2 linked regions of the Lepisosteus oculatus genome follow. The protein of the gene in region 1 binds, or shares a complex with, the protein of each later gene. Links are inferred from orthologs where the notes say so. Each region holds a gene or a part of one and is shown in the gene's direction. Other genes may lie near its edges. The genes, in order: afg2b and cinp.

Region 1 (8,049 bases):
GTAAAGGCTGGTTGCGATATGACCAAACCTACAATGCAGTATCAGAGGTACAGCTGCGAAAATTGCACGTTTCTGAGTAGCAAACACTGAACGTTGCTGCTAAACATACAAGATATGCTTACACAGTTGCGTTTAATGAATTACATCATCCGTACACGAAAAAAGACTTCACGAAGAACCAGCCCGTTATGCAAGGCACTCCAGCCGACAGCGCTCAGTCTGGGTGGAGCTGCGAGCTTGTCACACAGTGGGAAGTGCACTATCGCGCAATCTTCCCCAGCGCTGGTCTCTCACAGGCGTCTCGATCCTCGATGTTGCAATTCGCTTCTCAACGTCCGTCGCCCTCATTAAAGAAAAATGAATTCCTAGGTGTAATCTGATTATTCTGTACAGTTGGAGAAAAACTGGAGGAAAGACGGTCTCTTTCGTTTTTGTGCGCAGGTTGCTTACGAAAGAAGTATAAGGCTGGTTACAAAGTCATGCAATTAGAGCAGACTACCTCTGTAACCGTGTATATAACTCTGGATTGTGTTCCCAGCTATTCACATAGAAAGTACCAGTATACCCTCTTGGGGGTTATTTTGAGACTTTAAAATAATATAAAATCACTACTTATTCTCACAATAATTAACTACCTTTCGTTACAATTTATGCAATTACTGTATACCACAGTGTATAGAAAGATGTGTTTCCAGTCAAAATTAAGAACAAGAACATTATATGGCATATTATGGATGGGCTTTACCGTCTACTGCGTTAGTAGCCGTGCAACTATTCTGGAACCGTATGCATGTATGAATTAAACGATATTGTCTAACTGTTAGGTGGTGTTTCTACGTAACTGCATTCTGATCAATTCTCCCTCGGCGATCTGCTTCAGCGCTATAAAATCAAATTAGTCATCCGCGACACTGTTATCTCTTAGAAACCGACGAAGATAATGCACAGTTTTTAACAGCGAACCGTTAAAATATATTTTTTTTAACTTTGCGGGGAGAGCTACATAACTTAATGGAAACATTAAAACCCACTCAGCAGTTTGTAATCTCTCCTCGAAGAAAAAAAAATCTTGCTCTCCTCCCGAGCTGTAGCCGACACGCTGTCACTTTGGAGTCGCTTCCAACATGAAAGATTTCCATGGATCTTCCCCAGCTGCCTCACCTGCTCCGAGAACTTCTGTTCTCTCACAGCTTCAGTTCTCCTGTCACTGGGCTCATAATTAAGTCTTCAAATCACCTGGCGCCTGTTTATTCTCCACTTCTTCCCTCTAATTAGCTTTAGTCTTGTGTGTTTCTCTGCTGCTTTCTAACCAAAACACATTTTGCAGGAAGACAGGCTTCTGAAGGTTTTTTTTTCACACCGCACTGTCTTGGTCGAAAACCTTCAGACGGCTCTTTCAGCCGGTTCGCACCAGAACAGTTATTGACCCTGGCTGTGGACAGGTAACTGTCTGGAGAATGTGCAGAACACGATGTTTACAACAGTGCCACTCACCTGTAAGGTCAAGACACATAGCCTATCAATGCAAACATCCAGCCTGTTGTTTACAGAGCATTTTGCCTTGGAACACTGCACTGAACGCATGTAGCAATTGTGAGGTGGAATCAGCCTGGTTTCCATGGGAACCACCGCCAGTACTTTTGGCCTTGTTTGATGAACCTTGAAACATATCAAAGGACTGAGTCTTAACCATGCATCAACAAAGCATTTCATTGTTAAATGCATATTACAATACAACTACAACATGCCCCTTGTAAAGAAGGCTTCATTGATGGATACTGACCATCACAAGAATGCCAATTTTAGGTCCACATGTCCACAGGTCCACAGGTCCACAGCTGTTAGAGAGTTATCTCTGGTCTGCTTATTCAGAATGAAAACAAAAAACCTTTGCTGATTAGTCAAATGATCATCAAATTGTAAAAGCTTTAGTGTCAGGATCAAAGGAAAACACCTCTCAATTTATAATATTGCTTTCTGTGACACACTAAAATATTTTACCCAAAGGCAAATAACAGAATTAAAACAAAGGAGGACTTTAGGCAGTACATTTGTGGGGATGTAAGGATTTACCAGTCAACATGGAAATTAACTGTTGTTCTCAACCTACATTGCAATGTTTCAGTAGGTGTTTGATCACCAATAATTACTTGAGGAGGTTGATTTATCTGAAGTATACTGCAGTGAAAAAAAATGTCTCTTTTACAAACAGAATGCAGTCTGAATAAAATTAATCAAATGGCATGGAGCACAATTACAATCAAGAAAAGAATCATTCAAGCTGATGGAGCTCATCAGACAAGCTAAAACACAGCAACACAGTTCTTGAGAGTGTAAATATAGGCCTATTCATCAGCAGAAGAAACAGGGTCTTGGTAATCAAGGACTAAGCCTAAGACATTGCTCCAGAATGTTGGTGTTTGGCAGTAATGTAAGCCTGGCCTTAGCTTAAAACTTTGTCAGAAGCAAAGCAGACAAATCATCTGTACTGACTGCAAATTTAAACAAATGTTTTTTTCTATTTTTTTGCACGGTGGTTCTAAAAATCTGGAAAGCATGAACTGTTCTGTATCACAGCAGATACTTAATTAGCTGTAATTAAAGACAGTATAAGCTCTTTTGTTATTACACATCCATGCACACCATGGCATTGTAATGTCAACTAAGAAAGGCAGTTCCTAGAGTTTCAATCAGGCTTGCTGTCAGTTCTAATTAAAATAACCATGGCAGAGCCATTCTTAGCTGGACAGTTCCTCCATTAGAATCATACGTCATCTCATAAAAGAGCTGCAGTCTAGTATGACTGTTCTCTTCCTTTGCGACATTTAGTTTTCAGTCACCATGTAAGCTGACACAAATATACTGTACATAATCATAGGCTTCTTCATACGTGGATGCCATTTATTTTAACTTGTGTAAAAGAAACATTTTACTTTTTCTTTTGATGCCATTTTTCAGACACACTTTGTTATGAGTTTATGCAGCTCTTGAATTTGTAATTGTACCCTAGTAGGGTACGTTATTCCTCTGATAACATTTTCCAGTGTGGCTGTAAAAGGGTGTTGACAGCATTGTATCACTTTGGTGGACATTTTTCTTAGTCCTAGTTTTCTCATTATCCTTCTCGGTAGCCTTTTGTACTGGAATAATTGCTCTAAATGGTCCAGATAAAGTGTAGTGTAGGATTTCTCAGTGCCTTGGTTTTTCTTTGAACTAAAACCCAGTTCTTGGAGGGCTTGGTGCCTCTTGGTTTTTGGTCTGGTTCTCAGTTACATAGCTGGTCTAATTATTTAATGAATGCATAATTGTTAATACTGATAAACAGGCATGAAGGTGATTTATAGCTAACTACTTTTACTGAAGTGCATTTTTCATTGTAAATTGTAAAAGACCTAAAGAGGAATGTTTTAGGCCTATATGTCTATTTAAGAACATCTATCCATCCATCTTATACTGGCTTTATCCTATCATGGCAAGCAATGGGCACAAGGCAGGGACATCCTGGACGGGATGACAGTCCACTACAGGGCACACACAGACACAAACATACACTAACTCACTCCTGGGCCAAATTTTTCCAGAATATTTCCAATTAACCCAGTAGCATGTGTTTGGACTGTGGGAGGAAACCCATGTGAATATGGGAGGAACATATACTGTAAATACCACACAGAGAGTCTAGGCCCCTAACACTACAAGAACTACAGCAATACTAAACACTACACCACTATAGGTTTATTCCATGCTGAAAAAAAAGAAAGAGAACACAACGTTTCAAACGTTGTGTTCTCTTTCTTCTTTTTTTCAGCATGGAATAAACCTATTACTTGTTCCTTTGCAGCCTACACATGCTGACGCAGCTACCCACCTGAACTACTACACCACTATGCTGTCCTAATTAAAAAAAAAAGGTTAATTCGTGGCTATTCAGGTTGGACTTTAAAACCTCGAGATACTAAGCTCCAGGAATACTCCAGGAATTAAGTTTGACACTCCCGAATTATAGCAAAGTGGATGTTACATAGCGAGAACTGAGAAGCAATGGATGTATAGTGGAACCTCATACTCATTCTATTTTTCAGTTGTTTGTCCTATTGCTAGAATATGGTGAAAAGTGCTGATTCACTTCTGAATTTTGCTCACTTACTTGACTATTAAGAGCGAGATTTTTAGTGAATCTGTATTTATTAAATTCTTTTTAAAATAGCGGGCAACAAGCTGTTATCAAAGAGATGCAGCAAACATTGAAGCTTGGAAACAAAAGGCATTTTTTTATAAACCACATAACACCTTTAAATTTAAAGGTGTTCCAGTTATCCAGGTATCAGGGTATGTTTTAACCGCTTGTGGAGTTCAGTGTAAGCGGTACAGTTTCGAAAAAGAGTATAACACTTCATGTGAATCAAAAGGGCCAGATAAATAATTATCCCATGAAGGAAAAGCGCATTGCAAGCACAAGGTGGCGCCAGTGGTCTTTGAAATATATGGTCACACATTATAATTTGAGAAACCCTGATAAAAATAGTATAAGTAAAATTGGTGTTGGAAATATGAGATGCTGCCTTTTGTGTTTTTTTTTTTGTTAATTCTTCTTTAAACCAAAAAAATACTTTTTAAATAAACAAAATCTTACCTGAATTGCAACGCATCCAGCTTTAAGAGCACGCTGATTTATTGGAAATGGTGTCAAAAACAAATTGATTTTATGAGGTATTTACATTTTTCTTTTGTCATAAACTACAACTACTTTAAATATTAAACTGAAAACGTCGAATAAAGTTGGCTCTGGTTGTCATGACATTTCTGTTGGCCAACCATAAAAAACACGGAATTTTTGTCTGAAATTATATTACCCACACACAAAAAACTTTACGTATAAAAACGTTCATTTTTATTCAGAATCAGACAATATGACCTTCAAAATAAGTATAATATCGGTAAATGTCTGAAGTTGTACAGAGAATGTTTTTAAATAAGAATAAATAAGAATAAGAATTAAATAAGAATTGCAATGTGTAAACCATGAGAAAGCCCACAATTGGCCAATCTGTGATGCCGGCCACATGCTTCTGTTTGTTTGGGTCATTGAGTAGTCGGATATCATGTGCTGAGCTTGATTTGGGTAAGAAAATTTACTTCTATGTATTTATATAGCATTTTATTTTCCAGTGTTCTAAAAGTAAAGAAAGTAAAGAAGCTGTTAGTCCTTTTTGTGTAGAAAAGCAAGTCTGTGCTGTCAAAATGTTAGCTGACTATGATTTTGGAAACTAATTCGTTTCCTGTTACTAAAAACGTGTTTTTTTAGATTATCCTTTCAAACTGCAAATGTATTCAACTCGTGGATACATTTATGTTTTAAACGGATTAGGAGTCACATCGCAATAGAGAATTTATGGTAACTTCATTTGGCTTCAATAAGGTCTAGAACAAAAATGGCAGTGTTTCCACCAGTTAATTCGTTGCCACAAGTCTTTCTTATGATCTCCCAGGTCTCCCGGTTGGTAAAGGCATGGAAAACATGAGTCTACAGGTGTTGCCTCTGGACCCTGTCGATCAAGGGACACAGAGGTGCAGACTTGGCCCCCGTTTAATGGAGTCTCTGGGACTGAACATCGGGACGCCAGTACACATTTCTGTCCTTGATGGTGACTGCTTGTGCACAGCATGGCCTCGGAGCGACCTGGCTGAAGGGTTCTTGCAGTTTGATACCAAATGCATCACGGAGGATCTCATTGGTGGGATTCCCAGGCCCCTGGCTGTGAGTCCCAGCCACATCAAGAAAATCGTTTGCCCCAAACTGAAGGGCATCAGAGTCGACGTCATTGTCCGTCACATGGAATTCAAGAAATGCTCGCCCCCTTCTCTGCTTCCTGAGCTGGTGAAAGACCTGCTCCGTGGCTTGTATGTTTCCCCCGATCATGTGGTTCCAGTAGCTTCCCTGGAAACTCCGGTTGAGCTCATTGAAGTTCGGCACATACACCCCTGCGGCAGTGAAGCGGGCCTCATCACTGCTAAAACCAGCATAGAGGTCGGCGAAGTCAAGACGCTCAGCCAGCACAAGACCCAGCTGCAGCATTCCTCCAAGATCCCCTTGGGAGGGATGGACGCTGTCTGCGATTCCCTGACAGAGATCCTGAAGTTGCCCCTTCTTTACCCAAGGTCACTGCACAGACTTGGTCTCTCCTGCCCCAGAGGAGTGCTGCTCATCGGGCCCCCAGGGGTCGGGAAGACCTTGCTTGTGAGGAGCGTAGCCGCGGCAGTGGGAGCCTCTTTGGTTACCATCAATGGCCCAGTGATACTCGGCTCAAGGCCAGGGGAGAGCGAGGAGAATTTACGGAAGATGTTCCGTCGGGCAAAGGACATGTCGGAGGAGGGGCCCTGCGTCCTGTTCGTCGACGAAATCGATTCCCTGTGCCCGAAGCGAGCCGGATCCTCCAGCGCGCCGGAGAACCGCCTGGTCGCTCAGCTCCTAACGTTGATGGACGGCATCGGCAGCGAAGGACGATTCATCGTCGTGGGGGCAACTAACCAGCCGGACACCTTAGACCCTGCTCTGAGGAGACCGGGGCGATTTGACAGAGAGGTGGAGTAACCGGTCACAGTCAAGTATAATCAAGTCCCATTCCTTCTTCTGCTGCTACACCAGTGAAGAAGGTTTAAGCATCAGTAGGTTCTCAAATTGCAGTGTTTTTATTAGACAGTTTTAACATTTAGACATAATAATATTTGTTTGCCGCGTTGTACTAGATCTTCTTATATATTCTCTTTAATGATGACATATATTCTGATGTATTAATAGTGTATATTGTATCTATAAAAATAACAGTAACCCTGTAGTTTTTTCTTATGTTTAGTTTACTTCTCAGAATTATATGAGTAACTGAATCCCTTCTTCATTCCCCACAGATTGTGATTGGTGTTCCAACACTTCTTCAAAGAAAATCCATTTTAGACATGTTGAGTTCGAAAATGTCTCTGTCCAGTGACGTGGACATGAATGCTTTGGCAGAAATGACGACGGGCTGCGTGGGTGCTGACCTGACTGCACTCTGCAGGGAAGCTGCTTTACAAGCCATTCTCCACAGCTCCCAGGTACGGCTTCCCTGACTCCTGTGAATTAAGCACACAGTTTTGCGAGGCTGGAGTCAGAATTACCTGGGATGTGCCAGAGTGTAGCCTGAGTTTAACTGGGTGTTTAAGGTGCAAACTCCGATATGAGGGAGACTTAATTACTTCTGCTTTTGGAAGGACTCTGGGTGTCACGTGATAAGCATGGAGAACTTCCTGCAAGCCCTGAAGAAAATTCAGCCCTCGTGCCTCAGAAGCAGCATTGGACTAACTGACTTTAAACACATCACCTGGGACCAGATTGGAGGCCTAGAGGAAGTCAAACTGAAATTGAAACAGGTACAGGATTTTGTTTTTCACTCACAACATAGTATGAACATCCTGACAAAAAAAAAACATTTACTGAAAGTATGTCTTTTAAAAAAAAATCTGAATCATCAATTAATTTTTATACGCACCCGATTTGCAGTAGCCAGTTGTGTGCGTTTCAGCTCTCGGCTCACAGCTACACACTCAGTGACGCCACCCTTGGGGGGGAATGAGGAAGAGCAGGCAGAGTCCTTCAGCCTGCCTGCCTTCAAGTCATCTGACCTTTAACACGCCACAGCAGCACAGCTCCCTTCTGGAGGTGCCTTACCGATAGAAGGAGAGGCGTGCCCCTTACTGCCAGCCCACACTCAGAGCCCAGAGAGCCTCCTCTAATCCTTTCCCCCATGCTGGGTATCCTGGTCACAGTCGGCTAGTGACATGACGTAGGCTCAAACCTGTGGTCATAGAGCACATCATAGTGCTCAGGCCTTTAGTGGACCACTCAGGAGACCCCCTGAAAGCATGTCTAATACTACAGGGACAAGGCGGGAAAAAACATTAATACCGCCTAGTGCACACTGTCAGATTGCAGTTCATTTTTTAATCGTACCTGAAATAACACGTAAACACAAAGCAAGTTTAATAATATATCTTCTTTTTTATGAAAACAAG
Region 2 (8,055 bases), on another chromosome or scaffold:
ACAGCCTTGATCACTATGACTGAACACAGGGTCTTCACAAAAGGAATACCCCCCCCCCATGCAATGGACTAAGCATTTTTCTTTCAAATATAACCAAGGTTACATGCCAATTAGCTACACCTTTCCACATGAGGCATGATATTAACATCTGTACTTTCTATACAGAAGGCCAGCCTATACTTCCTATCAATAAAACAGTTAGGAATCAACACAATAACTAGCATACTGCAGTTTTCTATAACTGCAAGCGCAACAAAGTCTGTGGTTTTGCAACCCACAATAAGTGTTAATTTTACTCAAGAATCCATACCCTTTCCTGGGCTTTGTTCCAACCTGCTGGACTGCCTTCTCTTCGGTGTAGAAGAGCAGGCTGTGCTGGTGTGTGGATACGAGCAGAACTTTCTGGCTGTACTCCAGCTGTACGATGGCAGACTGCTCCTCCAGCAGCACGCTGGGGTTGCACACACCCTGCACACGCAGAGGAGCCAGAGAGAGACAGGGCTCGATTAGGCATTAGGCGAGCCTGCACCAGGTGCCTACAGCAGAGCAGCACGCAGCATGCTCTGAAGGAATAAGAGGAGACAAACTGACCAGGCTTCATACACCCAGTGCTGTTTAAACAACCAGACTGGGATCAGCAAATGAACGGGAGCTGTACCTGGTCCAAATCGATGGCAGAATAGACAACTTTCCCTTTGTCATCCCCGGAGAACAATTTCATTCCGTTTGCACTCCAGGCCAGGGCTGTCACTGTGCTCTTGTGAAGTCCAACTACGTCAAAGCGCCGCAGCTGTGGGTCAGAGAGGGAAATCACAGGCACGCCGACGCAGCAGTGTCATGCCCACGAACACTGTGGGAACTCTCAAAGTCTTCAGCACACTGGTCCTTCAGAAAGGCTTATCCAGCTCACTTTCAATAAATGAATGCACACTATGCCAAATAATGTGGCAAATTAACCCAAACTCACATAAAAAAGCCACAAAAAGTTCAGAAGCACCATGAATGGTTAGTTGCATTGACCGTGTGTTCATTTCATTCCTCGCCTTGATTTCACGGCTCATATTTTAGCCTGTGGACCCAATTTGAAAAGATATACCCTTAATCATCAAATGAAGAGGCTAAGTTTTAAAAAAAAGAAACATGCATAAGAAGCCATGACTACTCCATGAAGAGTTACTGCAATCTTGAGATATAAACCTTCACGAACCAGCCCACATCATATTATTACCAAAAGGCACCTCAATTTAAAAGGGCAACATGATACAGACTAACACTGTATCACTACTAAGCCAATGAGGCAACAACATACCCAAGAAGTAAAGTAAGATCAGTAAGATAACTAAAATCACTTTATTAGCCATATACAATTTCTTGCATTAGGAATTTCTCTTTTCACATACCCCAGCTTCCTCTCCATGAGACACACAGGCACACAGACGGGGAGAGAGAAGATGGAGGTCAGAGCGCAGGGTCAGCCATTTATACGGCACCCCTGGAGCAGCTGGGGTTAAGGGCCTTGCTCAGGGTCCCAACGGAGTAGGATTCCTCTGCCAGCCGTGGGATTCGAACTGGCAACCTTGCAGCCACAGGCGCAGATCCTTAGCCACAGTGCCTCCGCTCCGCCCAGCAACACTATACTCAGCATGCTTTGCACAGATATTACCATTTCAATTACCACTCTCTGTCATTCACTCATGACTGATGGAGAAGCCGGGGTGCTGAAGTGTTATTGAGCACTTGGCAGTGTACTGACCTGCTTGTTCCTCCCGGGAAGAGGAGAGACGAGCTGGAAGAGGGCCACTCTGCCCGAGGCCGTGCCCACTGCCACCAGGTCATCGAAACAGCTCAGGAGCTTCACGGAGGTGATGGCCTCGGTCTTGCCCTGCACGGACACGCCACCACACTGAGACAGTGGAAAGTAACCTCTCTCCTGTTCAAACTGCTTCACTACCCACGCGAGTCAGCATTACACCGATGCTATAATATGTAAGACACATAGGCTTGAAAACAACTGTCCATGGGACGCGTTTCCAAAGAGTGAAACTCTTAGCTCAATTAACTAATTAAAGGACTGGGGGAATGAGAACCGAAAGACCTTCAAGTCTCCTGGGCCTGTAGTTGAAAAAGCCCAGAGGGCCTGTGGCGTATGTAATCCCCAACCTGCTGTGAGAGAAAGCTTCAGTGCCCCCTAGTGGACAATCATAGGGAACAATTCAACAGCAGCAGATGTTCAGAGCCAACCTGGCCTCATGTCAATTTGATTTTTAAGTGCATTACTTGACAAGGTGCACCAACAGCTGACCAGCAGCCCAAAAAGAACTATTCCCTTTATAATTTAACACTTAGTCCCACTAAATCATTAATCTTCCAGTGGATACGCCAGTTTAACAATCTATGCAATACAGTACAAGTCATGGTCTGCAATACAGATGGACCTCACCTGCCGCACTTTGTGGGTGAGAGGGTTAGGTAGAGCCCAGGGAAGGGAATCTGTCACTTTGAAGACAAAGCAACGCAAAGTATTCAAACAAACGGGACGATCATAGTGCCGTCGGGACCTCTGGTAATTACACGCCCAGCGCGCCGTACCTCGAGGTTATACTTATTCATCTGGTTGAGCCGCCGGCAGTAGAGGTAGAGCATGCCAATGCTGCTGCCCACGGCGATGTAGTCACTGCTGGCATCCAGCGCGGTGAGGTAGACCAGCACCGAGCGAAACCCCCTCTGCACCTTGGCGGGGATGGTGTTCAGCAGGTAATAGAGGGGGCAGAACTCCTTCAGGGCGGCAGGCGAGGCCTGGGCAGCCATGGCGGGGGGTCAGGGTGGCGCCGGAGCAGACGCTGAGAGAGGGGCAGAGGAGGGCGAGAGGCTGGGAGGGAGTGCCGACACACACCTGATAAAGACAGACCTATATCTCGGTCGCAGAAGTCCACAAATTAGGTAATTGCTGTATTCACTCATTTCCAAAATCTTCTGTGAACGAATAACACAATTAAGAAACTCCTTGCATCCATTTATCTAGCAGAAATTAGACTTCATGAGGCTACTTGTCAGATATGCAACACTGCAGTCATGGGTTTCAATTACATTTGTGAGTGCTCAGATTGCAGCACTGAACAGTTCTGGTCCGTTCCCTGAAAAATAACAATCATCCCTGTTTATTCACAAACTACATGAACATCCCAGTTCATTCACTCCTTCGGGTTATTTACATCTAGACAAACAATAAAACAAATTCAGCATTGATTTATATATATATGTATTTTAAGACTTAATATTGTTCATACTATTACAGTTAAGTGAAAATGAAAATACAGTACCTTTATAAGGCAAAAGAACACAGATGTTGCACAGATTATTAATTCAAACAAACGGTTTTGTTTATATGCTTTTAAAATGGTACATATACATATAAAAGAAAGGACACGAAAATCAGAGCTTGGAAAAACAAGAAAAAAGTATTTGATCATACTCACAGAATCAGCAATGCACAGGTATTGGGTTCCAGAAGGACACCATTTAGGCAAGTTTTGGAAATCCTGAAACCTGACAATTATTTCAAATGTATTACCATGCAAAACCCTGCAGTATTGCACACGAGGCGCCATGCATACATTGTGCACAGATAACTGAACTCTTAGCCCGTCTTTACCAACTGCTTTGAAATACACTTAACACAATTAAGGTTATTATGTTAGGCCTATATTTTAATTAGAGACGTTATACATCCCCACTACTTAATGTATAATAATGTTTGTCGACTACGCAATTTGATAAAAAGTCCAAACAAAATGACCCGCGAAAAACCCTTTAGCCTTTTCTACTTCGCCTTATTATGTGTACAAGGCGACACTAAATAGAAGAAAATTGAAGACAATTCCCTAAAACTGTCACTCAATTAGAGTTATCCAGCGGCTTGCCTTCTGAAATCTCGTTATCTCCTCTACATAAGCAGAACAAACCCAAACCAAGTTTCAGGCGTTATTCTGTAACTGAGGCCATCACTAGTCCTGTCTAGCCAGTTATTTCTATCATTATGAAAACACGCTCAGAAGGCTCACAGCAACACAAACAACTGGGGGTTTATCATCACGACGCATTTTCAAAAATAAGATCGCCGACGCCCAGAACTGAAAAGTCACTGCAAATACAGTGAATTAGTGGCAGATTACGGACTGTGGTACCACCAAGACACCAAGCACAGCACAATGCACACAGCAGACGGTCCGTTTCATATTGAAGGGTGACAACGAGCGTAATGAAAGAAGATGCAGCTAGCCACAGAGTATATTCGTGAGAGGAAAAGCATTCACAACGCCGTTTCCTTACAATAGCAAAACAGAAATTTGTCGAACACAGTCTGGGAGCCTCTAAAAATTAAACGCCCAGTACTGTACCATTAACAAAGGCCGGATTTCTGTACCTTTCAATTCCGTTTTTAATGTACGTTGTATTACTCTTTTGGTTTAAAAAATAATATTAAACAAAGCCAAACACGCTGCTTTCCTAGTGTAGTCACTGAACAGTGACAGGGCTATGTTAGCAGAATACGCTCCAAGAAAACGAAATTATCTCTTACTTACGTTGCAACGCGAACATTACATTGGATACCTTTTCTCTCTCTCTTTCTGTAAATCAGCCAATTTAATTGTGTTCTGTACATTCATTTTATGAACTGTAAACAAAAAAAGCAGCAGTTAAATTCTTTTTTTTTTTTGTTGTTACCAGAAAGCCCAGTCGCTCTGTTTTAACAAGGCATCAACATCACAGGTTCGACTGGTTGACATTTGACATCAGGAAGTGACGTAAACTACGTCTTCAATATGGCCGCCTCCTACAGTAAACATGCTTGATCTTACATCGGGGATAAGCATTGCAATTTATTTATGTATTACGTCTGAAAATTACTGACATGGAAGGTTAGTTTTTTTTATAGTGCGTGAGTTCGGAGTCTGTCAAAGAGTTATACAAAGTAGTTGTCTGAAATAACCACAAACCTTTTTATGTTCTACTCGAGAGTTCATGCCGATTTATGTACTTAAGAGTTTTAGTTAATTGAATATCAGTGAAAACATGTAAATACGAGAGCAAGCAAAACCGATTATTTCGTCAGATATATCTAAATGTGGTTCAGATACAGTTTTCTTTTAGATATTTACTATGAATCCGATTAAATCGATTTCTGTTTTAAGTTTCAGTGAACAGTTCAGGGAATGCAGCATCTATTAGAAGACCTGTTTCAACTAACAGTGCAAGAAAGATAAAGGACAATGCTGCTGACTGGCACAACTTCATTCTGAAATGGGATCGATTAAATGATGAAGGTTTTACAATTGCAAACAAAATTGTCAACCTGAAACTAAGCAAAATGTAAGTATTATTCTACATGCATTTGGCATCTCCAATAGAGAGTGGTGCATTGCCATTTCATTGTTATTGCCCATTAGCTTAAGAAAATTTACTTTCCAGTGTGAAAATTGAAATTGAGATCCATAAATTAATTTTGATTTTGTAAGAAAAGTGACGTGTAACAGGTACTGTATAAGGAGCATATATGAAAATAATCATACCCTTAATTTCTAGTAATATGTACTTTTAGTCTAGTGTTTGTATAGTATTGTTTATATAAACTATTATTCTAGTAATAAAAAACACCTCCACTTTTACTACCCTGTCTGCTTTTACTAGAACAGAAAATGACTCAGAATTTAAACTGGAGTGTGATGGTTCAGCTGTCTCCCCAAGATCTGCTACTGCAACCGAACCAAACCAGGAACTGCAGGACGAATGCACTGAGCTGTTGAGGATCTTGGAGAAAATGGTCTGTAAGAGCAATAATATTGCAGTCTTGTCAGAATTGCATTTTCATGTACATCCCTCAAAGTGGACCGCTACGTTTTGTACATTATATCAGAACTTACATTGCACGTAGATTTAGCTCGGGTCCCTGAGTAAATATATGCAAAACTATATAACTCTGAAACATACACTAATTTCTAAGAAAACATGATAAAAGTGTGAACACAGGATTCATTTTGTTCCCATTTATGGCCAGACTCACCTTGTATCAAAAATGAGGAAGCTGTCATCTACCGTTAAAGGCATATGTGCACTGGAAACATTTCACCATGGAGATGCCGGAAGAGAAAGCCCTTTGTTTCATACTTGGCCGACGGCACAGTTTGGTGAGTAAAGATGAAATCGGTACTGAATATATGAGGGATATGCTGTTGAACCAAGCTAGACCAAATTACTTCATCTTGTAAAAATGTAAAATACTTGCAGAAAAATGTTTTTATAGAATAGGTTTCTGACAATTTTTTACTGTTCACTTACTTTTAATTGTGCAAACAAGAAAGGTTACAATCACAAGCTGGCTTTTTGGCTGACCTAGCCTCTTTTGTAGTTAAGACTTAACTAGTTCGAGTTAACTTGAAGTTCCGGGATGCCCCTTTTACCGTGTGCCTTTACAAAGCAAAGATGTTTATAAGGTTCTACAGCTTGTTTTTTGTCATCAAACGTCAAGTGTTACTAAAAGTGGGCAGCACGGTGGAGTAGTGGTTAGCAGCACTGAGCCCCGAGTTCAGTTCCTGGGGTGCGATCTGCATGGAGTTTGTATGTTCTCCCTGGGATTTCTATGCGGGTTTCTCCCCACAGTCCAAACACATCCAAGCTTATGGAACGTTGCCCCTGGTGTGAGTGTATGCATGTCTGCGAGTCCTCTCCGGGTTGTGTCCTTCCTTGAGCCCTTCGCTTGCCGGGAGAGGCTCTGGCTTCCCCACGACCCTGTATTGGATAAAGCCGTTAAAAACCATATAGTTTCTTAATGTTGTGTTCCGTTTTCATGTGTGCTTTCTCAATAAAGCGTTAAAAGTGCAAGTTTAAGAGATCCAGTGCGTGCAAATAAAAGAAAAAAAAACAAATACTGGCAGCATTATTTACACTTGAGGTTCTCCTGTTTTACTCTCCTGTGCTGCCTTGCCAAGCTCCTGAAACCGTGGGGTGAAAACTGAATTGATTTTTACATGAGCAGATGTAAATGTACTGTGCAATAAATCCAGCACCATCAGGCTTTCACTCTTCAGGCCTGAAAAAGAAGCAGTGCTTCACAAAACAATTCAAAAGGCTGCAGTGGAAGTTAAAATCAAGAAACAGAATAATCTGGAACAGTAATTATAAAAGTGTCCATCAAGACCCACTGAATGCTGTAAAAGTTTTTTTTTTCCCCCCTCTCTCTAGATGACGTCTCCTCAAAACTTTTGGAATCTTATGAGCAAGAACTGACCCTTAAAGAAACAATAGTGCAAGAAATTGCACACACAACTGACCGTAGTCTTTCCCTGGTTCATCTGTCAGCCTGGCTTCATCAGCCATACATTGAGGACAACACCAAGGTTCTTTTAGAAAGCATGCTGCTGGAGACTGGGCATAGACCACTGTGAAGCAAACTGGAGGACTTATCTTAAATGTCATCAGTTTCAGATGAAAAACTGCATTCTTTCTCCTTTGGCAGAGAAATGAGTATATACTACTTCATTTTGAATTGTTTGTCCAATTTTATGCGATATTAGGGTGAAGTGACATGGGAAGCTCACAGAGAATTAAATATAGCACAGTAACAAGGCAATTCTACCTGAATATGTGTATAAACAAATACTTTTGATGAACATTTCTCTTGAAACCTTGAAAGAAGTTAGACTGCTTGATCTCATGTTCAGGGCCCTCATCCTTTTAAAAGCTCAGAAAAGATATTTATTATAATGGAAACCAAAACGTCACAAGTTAAGAGTAAAGCAATAACACTGCTTTTATATAAGCGACAGCATATAAACTTCAAATATTAGGAATTGTTCCTGTTAATGTCTTAAAATATGCACACCATCTTTTAATTAAAATGGAAGGGTGAACACAAACATCCATAACCAGCTAAGACTTTTTTTTTATTTCACAGTTTAATTTTAAGTATGAAGATAAATAGTTGTGGGAAAATATATTAGGAAGGAATTATCTGTCAACTAAAACTAAAATTTTGAAAAGTAGTGCAAATAAAGACTT

What was found.
Region 2: afg2b (region 1) and cinp share a complex: the UniProt entries of both Homo sapiens proteins name them as parts of the 55LCC heterohexameric ATPase complex. The link is inferred for Lepisosteus oculatus from reciprocal best matches to the Homo sapiens genes AFG2B and CINP.

Annotation. Positions count from the first base shown.
Region 1 is NC_090700.1:43,670,500-43,678,548, reverse strand, and holds the start of afg2b (ATPase family gene 2 protein homolog B), read left to right. Parts: upstream 1-5,046; 5' UTR 5,047-5,052; coding exon 5,053-5,122; intron 5,123-5,489; coding exon 5,490-6,583; intron 6,584-6,906; coding exon 6,907-7,092; intron 7,093-7,248; coding exon 7,249-7,407; intron 7,408-8,049. UniProt on the Homo sapiens protein: ATP-dependent chaperone part of the 55LCC heterohexameric ATPase complex which is chromatin-associated and promotes replisome proteostasis to maintain replication fork progression and genome stability.
Region 2 is NC_090703.1:6,421,983-6,430,037, reverse strand, and holds cinp (cyclin-dependent kinase 2-interacting protein), read left to right. Parts: upstream 1-4,806; 5' UTR 4,807-4,912; coding exon 4,913-4,919; intron 4,920-5,192; coding exon 5,193-5,370; intron 5,371-5,688; coding exon 5,689-5,821; intron 5,822-6,055; coding exon 6,056-6,185; intron 6,186-7,239; coding exon 7,240-7,442; 3' UTR 7,443-7,614; downstream 7,615-8,055. Other genes in the region: tecpr2 (tectonin beta-propeller repeat-containing protein 2), read right to left, coding at 311-468, 659-790, 1,754-1,882, 2,590-2,808. UniProt on the Homo sapiens protein: Component of the DNA replication complex, which interacts with two kinases, CDK2 and CDC7, thereby providing a functional and physical link between CDK2 and CDC7 during firing of the origins of replication.